Linked DNA regions of Coturnix japonica. The protein of the gene in region 2 purifies or fractionates together with the protein of the main gene of each other region. This does not show direct contact. Links are inferred from orthologs where the notes say so. Each region holds a gene or a part of one and is shown on either strand. Other genes may lie near its edges. The genes, in order: KDR, PTPN6 and RPL35A.

Evidence for each region.
Region 1: the proteins of PTPN6 (region 2) and KDR purify together in Homo sapiens (affinity purification with western blotting; 3 studies listed by BioGRID and IntAct, with this or other methods). This does not show direct contact. The link is inferred for Coturnix japonica from reciprocal best matches to the Homo sapiens genes PTPN6 and KDR.
Region 3: the proteins of PTPN6 (region 2) and RPL35A purify together in Homo sapiens (affinity purification with mass spectrometry; 3 studies listed by BioGRID and IntAct, with this or other methods). This does not show direct contact. The link is inferred for Coturnix japonica from reciprocal best matches to the Homo sapiens genes PTPN6 and RPL35A.

The regions. Positions count from the first base shown.
Region 1 is NC_029519.1:58,827,878-58,831,938, reverse strand, and holds the end of KDR (vascular endothelial growth factor receptor 2), read right to left. Parts: intron 3,201-4,061; coding exon 3,104-3,200; intron 3,000-3,103; coding exon 2,911-2,999; intron 2,119-2,910; coding exon 1,899-2,118; 3' UTR 588-1,898; downstream 1-587. UniProt on the Homo sapiens protein: Tyrosine-protein kinase that acts as a cell-surface receptor for VEGFA, VEGFC and VEGFD. Plays an essential role in the regulation of angiogenesis, vascular development, vascular permeability, and embryonic hematopoiesis.
Region 2 is NC_029516.1:69,602,663-69,606,307, forward strand, and holds part of PTPN6 (tyrosine-protein phosphatase non-receptor type 6), read left to right. Parts: intron 1-1,817; exon of another isoform or gene 1,818-2,180; coding exon of another isoform or gene 2,181-2,188; intron 2,189-2,453; coding exon 2,454-2,576; intron 2,577-2,893; coding exon 2,894-3,088; intron 3,089-3,645. UniProt on the Homo sapiens protein: Tyrosine phosphatase enzyme that plays important roles in controlling immune signaling pathways and fundamental physiological processes such as hematopoiesis.
Region 3 is NC_029524.1:13,176,558-13,180,604, reverse strand, and holds RPL35A (60S ribosomal protein L35a), read right to left. Parts: upstream 2,762-4,047; 5' UTR 2,652-2,761; intron 2,358-2,651; 5' UTR 2,323-2,357; coding exon 2,312-2,322; intron 1,828-2,311; coding exon 1,675-1,827; intron 1,196-1,674; coding exon 1,051-1,195; intron 639-1,050; coding exon 615-638; 3' UTR 579-614; downstream 1-578. Other genes in the region: IQCG (dynein regulatory complex protein 9), read left to right, coding at 2,863-2,952, 3,041-3,184.

The DNA.
Region 1 (4,061 bases), on a different chromosome or scaffold from region 2:
AAAGTCAAAAAGCAGAAAACAGAGTGAAAAGGTAGCAGGTTTAAGTATGGATTCAAAATTAAGCAATGCATGGTTACATAAGAGCAGGGGGCAACATTTCAGCTGCAAGTGAGACGGAAGAAAGACAAGTGGGAAAAAATCAAATAAGGCTTTAAGATAAACTGCTACTCCTCAGGCAACAGCCTCAATACAATTGGATCAACCATTCCTTAACTGAGCTCTATAAACTCAGAGGAGAATCAGGCTGTATAAGCAGTCTTCTCCTACGAGCCATTCTTTAAATGCAGTTACTTCCAACCATTAAAAATTACTGAAGTTTCTTTACTACAGGTACCCACAGAAGCGTTCATAGACCTGTACAATGGCAGAAATATCTAGATTTGTTAAGTGGCACTTAAGATAACTAGTACTTGATAAGTTTCCCTGTCAGTAGTCAGGATATAAGTAAATACAGGCAAGAGAAAATTTACCTGTACCCCCCACCTCTGTTTCCAGTCTCTTATAATAAAATGAAAAGCTTTATCTATTAAAAATGTTGTGACCCTCATGATGCTACAGAACACTGATATAAAATGTGAATAGTACAATATCCATTATATAATATATATATTTATATTTTAATATATTACATTTATTTCTACATAAGTAGGCTATAAATACTGTATATGCCTTATATCCATGGTTCCCAGCATCTGACTTTATAGTAAGTACAAACAAACAAAATAACCCAACAATATAAAAATACAAAAAAGAACTCAGTAGAAATAGCTTTACATTTTAAAACCTTGCAGTTTGCATTGTGTTTATCAATAGTGTTCTGGGACTACAAGAGCACAGTAAGAAGTTGTCCATCAACTACAGTCTCACCACTTGGAGAAGATTGGAGCTGCCATGAAATCAGTCACAGATTCCCACGACTACATAAATCACAATCTCTGCTGGTGCAAACAAACTTTGAGTTTGTCAGTGACAGATGTGGCTTACACCTGGGGAAGAAGGATGAGAAGAGAAGGCAGAGTGGCTTTCGGATAACCCATCAAGACCAAAGGGCTGTCTATGCTCCCAAAGTAAATGAACCCTCCCTCTCTATCTCTGCCCCAGTGGCAGCTCAGAGGAGAATTTTCCACAGCACTCCTGACTAGCTCACAGGTGATCAGGACCTTGGCAAGGACTAAGGGGGCTGGGGAGGGTGTGTGCAGAGACATCACCATGGCAAACATGCCCCATGCACCCATGTTCCATCATCACACCGTTTCTCCTAATGAATCTCACCAAGTACATCTTCCCCAAGGAAATGGAGATCACAGGGTTTAGTACAGCAACATTTTTCTCCACAAAGGACAGAGATCACCTCTCCCACCTATATTTAGCCCAGCCTATGTTTAGCCTTAGGCTATTGGTGAGTGCCAGAGCCTTGAGCTGGAGGTTCCTTTTATAGTTTGTGGAGGTGCAGGCATGGGATAACTCTGAGAAACAAGAAGCCAGCGCTGTGCCGTTTCCTTCCTGGAGTCCAGCCGGGAAAAACAAAAGAGCAGGCCTGTGTCATTATTTCGTACAATTAGCAACAGTTGAGCTGAACGCCATGCCACTGTCCGTGTTGGGCTCGGCCTGCCACCGAGGTCCTAAAGGCCATTACACTGCTTCTGTCATAGAGTTGGCACTGCATTCACACACCACAGCCATGACTTCCCATCCTCAGCCACAAGAGTCTTTGGAGGAATGCACCTCACAGCCTGGCACTGCCTTGGGGCTGCAAGATGCTTCTGTATCCTCTTCTTGAAAAAATAAACGTCTTTCCCTAGGCCCACAGCCGCAGTCTCTGCACACACCAAATGTGAATACCACCAGCCAAGGCAAGGAAGGCACATCCCAGGGGACCTGGAGCCACTGGTTTCGGCTTAGAGTGGCAGGGACGCAAGAGGCGCAGGGCTGTCATATGCCAGGCCATGCGCACGGGGCAGCGTGGGGGAGGCCTCCTGGGCACACAAGAGTTCTGTGTCTTCACTGGAGCAGACCATGTTGTCCATGTCGTCTGAGTGGTACCCTGACTGGTAGCCACTTGTCTGGTTGGATGCCTCGGACATGACAGACTCATTGCTTTTGCTGGGCGCCAGTGTGCTGCAAAAATAACAGATAGGTCAAGTCAGAGAGAAGCAGATTTGTCTTCTGGAAGACAAAGTGGGTGACTCCTGTGGGTAACTGCTTCACATCACAGCGACAACAAAAGCAAAACAGTGAATTCAACAAAACTGGCTTTGAGCCCTTTTAAATGTGTGTTTGATTACAAGGAGAAATCTTTTTATATGCCCTAACTAACCCTAATGAATGAAAAATATTTAATTTTATGATAGTAGGGAGTTAGATTGCAACTGTAGATGAAATGGAGATAAAACCTGGGTATGTTTTGTTCAGTACAGCCACAGTGCAATCATGACTGCTATACACCTTTGTTTGTATGAAATAATTCCTCTGAGAAGCTCTCAGAAAGCATAAGTCAGATGAATGCCACTGTATTTCCTGTGAACTGCACAATTGAATCCCTGTACAATGCTCTGAAAATACACCCAGGTACATCCTGAAAACTCAAGAGCTAGTTTCAGAAGAAAGAAAGAAAGAATAACAAAAAAGAGCTCTTTGTCATCCCAGTTGTGTTACTGGCTCAGTTCCTTCAAGGGGTGGTTGATGCTTTTGCAGCTGGTAAATACAAGTCCCTTCTATGTTGTGCTACCTTCCCTCTCTTGGTACAAAATGCAGATGGCCAGATACACAATGAAAAACTTTTCTTTGTGTGGTTTTAAGAATTCAGTAAGAAAAGTTTTTGTATTTTAACAAAATCTACAAACCTATCAGTGCTCTGAATCACTACAAGAAAAAATCCATATTCAATCCTATTTGCAGCCTGAGCCTTACCTGAAGGGTATTTTGACTTGTTTATCTTGCTCTTCCAGAGTCTTTAGCTCTTCAGATGCAAGAACCATCCCACTGTCTGTCTGGTTTTCCTATAAAAGTGGTTAAAATGCATTAAATGGAAAGGGGATTAAAAATAAGAAAAAAAAATAACACACATCAATAAAAGGAGAAGACATTGAAAGAACAGTCTCACCTCCTGAACAACTTTTACAGTGGTCACCAATGGGATATCTTCAAACGTTTTCACACTCACGGGTCGGCTTTTTCTTTTGCTACCTTGTCGGTACTGACTGAAAAGAAAACAAAAACAATCGCTTTGCATCCACTATCCACAACTGGGCTGAAAACAGCACAGTGATATCAGTATCCTTTTATCTCTCTACAGAGAAATTAATCCTTCTGTCAAAACATATTATGCAAACCTCAAAATATCCATTTATTGAAAAGGACAAACTGCCTAACAAGTGGCAAGTTTCTGACCTCCTGCTCCTGACAGCCTTGATCTCTGAGCAAATTCTAAGAAACAGCTTTGAAAAAACAGCTCCTTTCCTCAGTTACACTGGAGGGCTTCACTTCCTGCAAGCTTTGCTCAGAAGTATAATAAACAGAGGAGCCTGGAACACAGACATGTGTCTCTTTCTTTGGGTTGAACTTCTGGGACCCCTGCCTGGACCCAGGACAACAACAGCAGACTCAGCAGACTGACGCCCTTAAACCATGGGGATCGGCACAGGCAGGGCTGCATCTCTCCTGAAGGCTCTCCTCCAAAAGAAGCCCTTTGGTCAGGATGACATCCATAAAAAATATTAGACCAAAAAATAACAAATAGAAAAACTGGAGTTTCATGGAGGTACTAATAAAGCAAACACAACAGCCTTCTCTCTAAGTGGATCTGGGATAAAATGGATGTTGTCTCAGTTAAATAGCTCCAATTTATGTTCCTGACAGCCAATGGAGAAAAACACACTCTGGGCACTATGGAGTTAGAAGAGAAACCTGCACATACTTGTGCAAAGCTGAAGGCAATACAAGGCATCACTCATCCCATTTCCCAGCTTTGAGTTTAGATATGCCAAGTCCTGCCAGTCTCCTGTTGATTTTAATTAGCCCCAAATATTCTTTAAAATTCTCTGTTTTCCCTATGCTTGCCT
Region 2 (3,645 bases):
TGATGGGTGAGCAATTGGGTGCTGCCTCACTTTGATCATTGTGTTCAGTTTTGGGTGCCACAGTATAAAAAGGACTTAAAACTATTAGAGAGTGTCCAAAGGAAGGCTTACTAAGATGGTGGAAGGTCTAGAGGGGAAGATACATGAGAAATGGCTCAAGTCCTTGGGTTTTTTAAGCCAAGAGAAGAGGAGACTGAGGGAAGACCTCATCGTGGCCTACAGCTCCTCATGAGGATCTCCTCTCTCTGATGACAAGTGATAGAACCTGAGGGAATGGCATGAAGCTGCAACAGGAAAGGTTCAGGCTGGATATCAGGAAAAGGTTCTTCAGTGGAGGGTGATTGGGCCCCAAAACAGAATCTCCTGGGGAAGTGATCACAGTCCTGAGTTTGCTGAGGCTTAAGAAGCATCTGGATGATGTTTTCAGACATGTGGTCTTGTGTGGAGTCGGGAGTTGGACTCCATGATCCTTATGGGTCCTTTCCAACTTGAGCTATTGTACTATTTGCTATGTATACACTACCTGAGTGTGAAAAGCAACATGACTTGTTCACTGATGGGTCCTGTTGTATTGTGGGAAAGCATTAGAGGTGGAAGGCTGCTGTATGGAGTCCTACATGATGAGTTGCAGAAGCTACTGAAGTTGCATTGAGGCAATTTGCAGAAGTGAAGGCCATCCAATGAGCTTTAAATATTACTGAAGAAAGAAGTGGCCAGTGCTGCACTGACTCCTGGGTGATGACAAATGCAACAACCACCAAGTGACTGGAAATATACCCATGTCCTGTGCCACTGTGTGAAACCATCTAGAGTTGGTTTTCCCTTCATAGCATCTGGTATAATGCTGTGTTTTGGTTCTAGGAGTATAACACCTCTGGTAACACACCAGTGCTTTTAGTTGGTAGTATATTCGTTGTATAACATTTCCTTCATTGAGTCTCTGTGCCTTTAAAGTTTCCCTCTTTTAATATCAGTTTTAAGTCAGTGCAGCTGGATTCCTGCAGCTTACCACATCCCATCTTATCGTCTGTGTGTGAAACTGGAAGTGTTTTAAAAGAAGCTGTTTTTTTGTTGCCTGATCTGTCTTTCTAGCAATGAAGTTTAGTTTCCCCATTTGTGTCTCCTGTACTTCCCTCTGCTGTTAGTTTCTGTATGTCTTGACCATTGTGAGCAGCCTGTTCAGTTCTTTGCAAGATTTCTTGGTCGTGGTATGTAGGGAAGTCTGCAACTGCTGCTGTGTGAAATGAACAAATCTCTTGCTGTTCCTGCTGCCGACATCACACATCTCAGCTACCCTGTGTGGTAGCTGTGCTTAGAGTGCTGGCCTATGCCTCTTAAATTCTGCACACCTGGCTTTACTCGGATTCCCCCTTTGGCTGCTTAGAGCACATGGGATGTTTACCTGCCTATTGGGGTGGTGGAGGTTTCAGCTGCATGGCTGAGAGGAGCCCTGCAGAGCCAGGTGCATTGCACCATGCAGGTGGTCATGATTTGTAGGCTGCTTTATTGCTGAATGTGTACCAGCATGTGCTGCCCATTTTACCCTTGCAGATGTGTGGATGACCTTAAGGGAGCTGTGGTCACCTTAGTACCACTGCAAGGACTTTGGTGTGGGGAGCAGTTGTGTTTCTTACCGACCTCACGGGAAAGAAGGAGAACAGAGGTCTTGCAGAACTGAAATCTGTGACCACAGCTGGGTCCCTAAAAGCACTTATAGAGCCAAACCTGATGTGGAAAAAAAAAAAAGAGAAAAAAAAGCAAGGGCCTGAGAATAACAAGGGGCTGGGGAGGAAAGACACAAAAGGAGAAGCAGAAGTGTGTGCAAAGCAGCTTGGGGCTGAGGAGCTGATGGTTCAGAGTGCTTCCTGTTCCTGGAGCCGCGTGCGTTCAGCTGCGCACCAGGCTGCTCCTACCCCTGCACTACAGCAGCGCACAGAGAGCCAGGAGATCAAGGCACATATCCAGAACCAGTGATGGAGAGGCACTGAATGGGCTGACGGTAGACTGCAGGAGGGATACATGGCCAGCTCCCAAGAGAAGCAGAAACAACTTAGTATCGGTTGCTCCATCGCTCATCTCCAACTTCCCTTTTCTCACCAGCGCAAAGTGACTTTTCCTCTGTATTTTTTGAGTTGCTTTGGTGATAGCCACTTGACCTCCCCTTCTTTTTTCCCTTCACAATGGTGAGGTAAGAGGGTCTGACAAGTGTGTGTGCGTGTGTGTGTGTGTAGGCAGGGGAACAAGCTCAGAGGGGATCACACTGATAGCTGTATCTCAGCTGTAATCCTTCATAGGCTTGGGAAAATGGTGGGTACAAAGGGTGCTTGTGCTGTTGCTGGCTGTCATCTGCATAGGTCTACCTAAGGAAGATGACTGGAAGCCATTCTTCACTGTACAACAGTGGTACCTGGCATTTTATGTTTACTTGTTTCTGTTTTCATCTCCTTTTGTAGGTGGTTTCATCGTGACCTGAGTGGGCTGGAAGCTGAAGCCTTACTGAAGGGACGAGGTGTCCATGGGAGCTTTCTAGCCAGACCCAGTCGAAAGAATCAAGGGGATTTTTCCCTTTCAGTTAGGTAGGTAATTTGGACTTCAACTGCTGTCTTTCCAAGGTTACATGTGCAACATGCTTAGGTCCTCATTTGTCCTACGGTCTCTCCTTCAACCTGTCCTTATTCCTCTGACTTCTATCCAAGCTGTAAAAGGACCTGAGCTATCCAGACCCTTCTAGACTCTGCCTTAACTTTCCTCAAGAGCTTCTTCTTCCAGCCATCTCCTTCCACTGGGATGGTTTGCTGCAGTTCCATGTTAGGAGGTGATGCAGGAAGGGGCTCCACATTTTCTGGTTTTTATTCAGCCATCTCACCAGTCTACTCTGTGCCTCATCCCTCAGGGTTGGTGATCAGGTAACCCACATCCGTATCCAGAACACTGGGGATTTCTATGACCTGTATGGAGGGGAGAAGTTTGCCACCCTTGCAGAGCTGGTGCAGTACTACACGCAGCAGCAGGGCTCACTGCAAGACAAAGATGGAACCATCATTGACTTGCGATATCCGCTCAACTGTTCTGATCCCACTACAGAGAGGTATGGAGAAAACCAAGCATTGGTATGGCTGTGGTGATGTTTCATGCCCTTCTCTCTTCCTTGCCCACATCTCTAGAGAGAACCTTGCAAAATGCATCTCCTGGCTCCCGCATCCTCCTGTGTTTCTGCAGAGACACCATCCTCAGCAGTAGCTGGATGTAGCTTGACAGCAGAGCAGACTTGATGGGGATCTATTCATACTTCCAGTTTCTTGTCGCCTTTGTGATTTCTGTACTGTTCATAAAAAGCAGGGGTTGTGGCGTTAGTTATGTATCCTCAGTGGTACGTGGGGGTGACTTGGTGTGTGGGAGCCCTCAGCCTTGCCCCAGACCTGCTCATTTGGTCCTGGTTGACTCATGTGGCTGAGTGGGGCCCACATTCACCTGCTATTCCCAGCCTGCTGAGTCTCCTTCCTGTCCCCACTTTGCATACCTCTCTGACACAAAGTTCCTAAACCAAATCAGGTGGTTTTGCCCTTGCATCAAGTGTTCAGGCTTGCTGATGCAGCTTGGGGAGTGTCATGTTGTGCTCTGGGATGGGGACACACTGCTTCCTGG
Region 3 (4,047 bases), on a different chromosome or scaffold from region 2:
GAAACACATCAGAGTACCTGAGTGAAGGTGAGGGCAACCTCTTCCCTGCCTCAGCAGTCACCACCCACTCAGGGTACTGATGATTCCTTTGGGGAGTGAAAGAAGACTATGACATCAGCAGCAGCCATGACAACCTGCAGCTGCCCGAAGCTTCCCTTAAAGTCATACGGTATCTTTTTATGCACTAAGAAAATCGCACTTTAAGAATCTTTAAATCCACTTTCATTGCCTTTCTGTTTGACAAACCTCACACTCACACACACGAGACAAGGAAATATTTCTCATTTTCTATAGAAAACTTGGGGGCACGGTCTACAAAGACTGCAAACATTTATTGTTTGGACCTACATGCCATTCAGATTCTACATTGGAGGCAATGATAAAGGCTGGCAGTTATTTGCCTTTTCAAAGGCAGCCTGCTCAACAGATGCCTTTAACAAGTACGGGTCAAATCTCCAGCTTAGGAGCTAGTTTAGAGTCACTCCTACATCAGTGTGCTGTGTACTGTGGTACACTACTGAAGAATCAAAGCTCTCAATATAGGTGGAGGGGATGAAAAAGAGGAAAGTACAAAAATGGAACAGATTATTCTGTATTTTATTTCCAATAAAAATTTAGATCCTGGATGGATACAGCATCTGAAAAACACAACAACAGAATCACGTTAGAATTCCTGTTATTGGACTGTACAAGTCAGCAAATTTATAGCTATCATCTGAATCATGGATCTCTTCAACTATTTTAAGTGACTCCCATTTATGCAGAAAAGGGGCAGGAAAGTCTAACAAGGAGCTGAGTGACGTGAAGCAGCATCTGATGGTATCAAAGCTCCCACCCAGCAGTCACTCTCCTGCTCAGCCTTCCCATGCCTACTTTGAGGACTCTGCCATGCAGCTCATGCAGTTATATGGGGAGTAAGAGAAGTTGATGCCGCAGCTCCCTTGCCACTAGGTAGGAAATGAGGCAGAGTACAAAAAGCAATGGTGCAAGATGAGATTACGAGGCAGCCCAAAGGCTGACAAGGAGCCCCTGGTTCCTAATGCTGCTCACCACTCGGATCCTGTGTCCGATGGCCTTGGCGGGGAGGTTGGAGCGGAACTTGGCACGAACCATCCCGCTGTTCCCATGGGCGCGGGTCACCTTCCCCCAGATCACCCGCGTCCTGTTGGGTTTCCCACCGGGGGTGACGGTGTTGCTGAGGGAACAAAAAGACACAGAACTCAGTGTGTTTCCTTTGGAATGAACCTGGAGTATCTTAACGTAGGATTTCTCCAGTCACACCACAGGCACAAAGGGCCTCAGGCATCGAGACAGGCAGCAGCTACAAGAAGCCACGTGCCACCCTTGAAATGACAGCAGTGATGAACAGCCTGACAAATTTATTACAGGGAATTCCACATCTGACATCAGAACAACCACTCTCAAAGAAAAATCAAGCAGAAGACAATAAACAATTGTTCTTAAAGCCTCTACCACTGCAGGCACAGCAGAGCTGTGACACACACACACAAGGGCTGCTCTATCAACTTCTTTTTGCCTGGCAAAATATTCCACCTCTAAGGATCTCAAAAACTCAATGATCACCACAAACTCATCTCGCTTCAATTTGCTGCCAACCAACTGACTGCTCACATCCCGGCATTTGCAAAAGATAATAAAAGACGACCAACTTACTTCTTAGCTTTGTAGACATAGGCACATCTCTTGCCTAAGTAGAACTCTGTCTCCTGGCGAGCGTAAACACCTTCAATTTTCAGCAGGGCAGTGTGCTCCCGCTGGTTCCGGAGGCCACGTTTGTAGCCAGCAAAAGTGGCCTTGCACCACAACCTAAAGACATGGAGAAAGAACAGATTAACTCAGTTTAACACATTAAACTTTGGTTGGAAGGGACCTCAAAGCCCACCGTGTACCATGGGCTGGATGCCTCCACCAGCTCAAGCTGCCCAGGGCCCATCCAACTTGGCCTTGGGCACCTGCAGGGAGGGGGCACCCACAGCTTTGGGTAGCACTGCTGGTTCCTCAATGCTTAATGAGTATAAAAACATCTTCACATCTCACAGAAATCTATTAGGCCATGTAAGAAGTTGGTCCCCCCTTCTGTTTCTATGTTCCCTTCAAGGCTGAACTGCTACAGCCAGCTGAAGACAGGGGTTTCAAGAGAGCAACACAAACGTAGCGATGTAACACACACACACAGAGATCGCCCTGTGTGTGCACCGGGCAGCGCCGTGCTGGGACAGCAGAGACTCAGCGGTGCCGTCAGCACAGCGCAGCTCCCCATCCAGCCGTACAGACACAGGCAGACACTCACCTCCCGGTCATGGCGTCCTCGTGCAGCGCAGTCCCGGCAGCTCAGCCTACAAACAACACACCCCGCTCAGTGCCCACAGCCCGACAAGGCCTCAGCACCGCGGGCTGCAGCGGGCCGGCTCCGGCTCCTCACAGCGCAAGGCCCCGCCGGCACCTCAGCTCCCTTCAGCCCCAGAGCCGACACCATCCGCCGTGTATCGGCGCCATCCCGCCCGCTCCACACCCGACACCCCGCCATCCGCCCCGCCCCGGTGTCCCCGCCGCCGCCGGGATGGTCATTGCCCGACACAACGCCCGACACAACGCCCGACACAACACCCCGCCCGCCGCACCCCGCTCACCAGCACGGCGCGCAGCCAAGATGGCGGCCAAAGGACGAGGCGGCGCGCGGCCCGCCGGGATTGCGGCTCTAAGGGCCCCGGCTGCGGGCTGCCCGTGTCACAGCCTGAGCGCACACGGTACGGGCCGACACAGCGCTGGGTGTGCACCGATATCGGTGCCTTTTGTCGTCCCTCGCCATGTCCGTGAGTCCCGTTACTCCTCCGGGCGGCGATGAGGGAACAGGCCTCGGCACCCGCAGGGACAGCCCCGCCAGGACCCCGGGCGCCATGGAGACGGCGTCGCGTTGAGCGCCGCGGAACGGTACTGAGCGGTGAGGGAGAGGGGTGGGCTTTGGTTTAGTGTTACTAACACCATCCCACCTCTATTCCTCTTTATTCCTCTTTACAAGAGCACAGGCACTAAAGAAATGGAGAAGCTCCCTCGGCTGGAAGCTCTGCTGCTCACTGCTGTGCTGGAGAATTGCATCGATCAGCTCGCCATCCTCGGGTACATCATGCCGGTTTCACAGGAGGGCAAGGCAGATGTCAGCAGTGTATGTGCCTCTGTGTTTGCTCTCATTTTTCTCAATGCCTTTTATGTCTTCTGTCAGCATTCTATAAGTCTCCACACAGGTACTTGTCTCTTTGGCATGGCTGTGTGAAGGACCCTGGTGACATAAGATGAGCTTCTGAGGCTTCATTCTACAACCTCAGTGGTCAGATGATAAGTAAAGGATCAGGGGAAAATAAACAACAGATGGCTGACGTCTCCTAAGTGCACAGCTTTATAAATAATAAAGAACAGGGACTTTGATAATACCCCAAATCAGGGTCATTCTGATACTCTATAAGCACACACTGAAGCTCCTCTAGTCCCCACAGACAACAAAATAAGACAGATTTCCCTTCAAAAATCTATTAGTAACTACTCATTATTAATGCCCGTTATTAATGAGTTGATTTCTAATAGACACCGTAACTAAGTGGTTCTGGGGAGAGGCATAAAGTAGAGCAGAAGCTGCTCGACATAACTGTAGTGCTCGATCAATGCTCCGGCTGCGCTATAGAGGGCACTGCTCTCCTTAGAGAGCACCCTGAGCCCGTCTCACCTGTTGGCCGAGGATGCTTTTCTCCCACAGATGGGGCTGTGAAAGCTCCGCTGTGCCAGCTGATCTGATACAGCAGATCCCGAGAATGGTGGGCGCAGTTCTCCTTCTCCCTCACACACACTGAGGCTGACAGACCTCCTAGAGGTACACTTGGTTTTTCTCTTCAAACACAGAGGCTCGTTTTTACTAAGTAGTTTATTTCTTAAGACACAACTTTCCCATGGAGTACAATCCTCAAATCAAGGAGGAAGCAGTTTAGAAACCAGAAAATGGCTCTGGAGAAGCCAACTTTTAGAGCCTCAGTCACT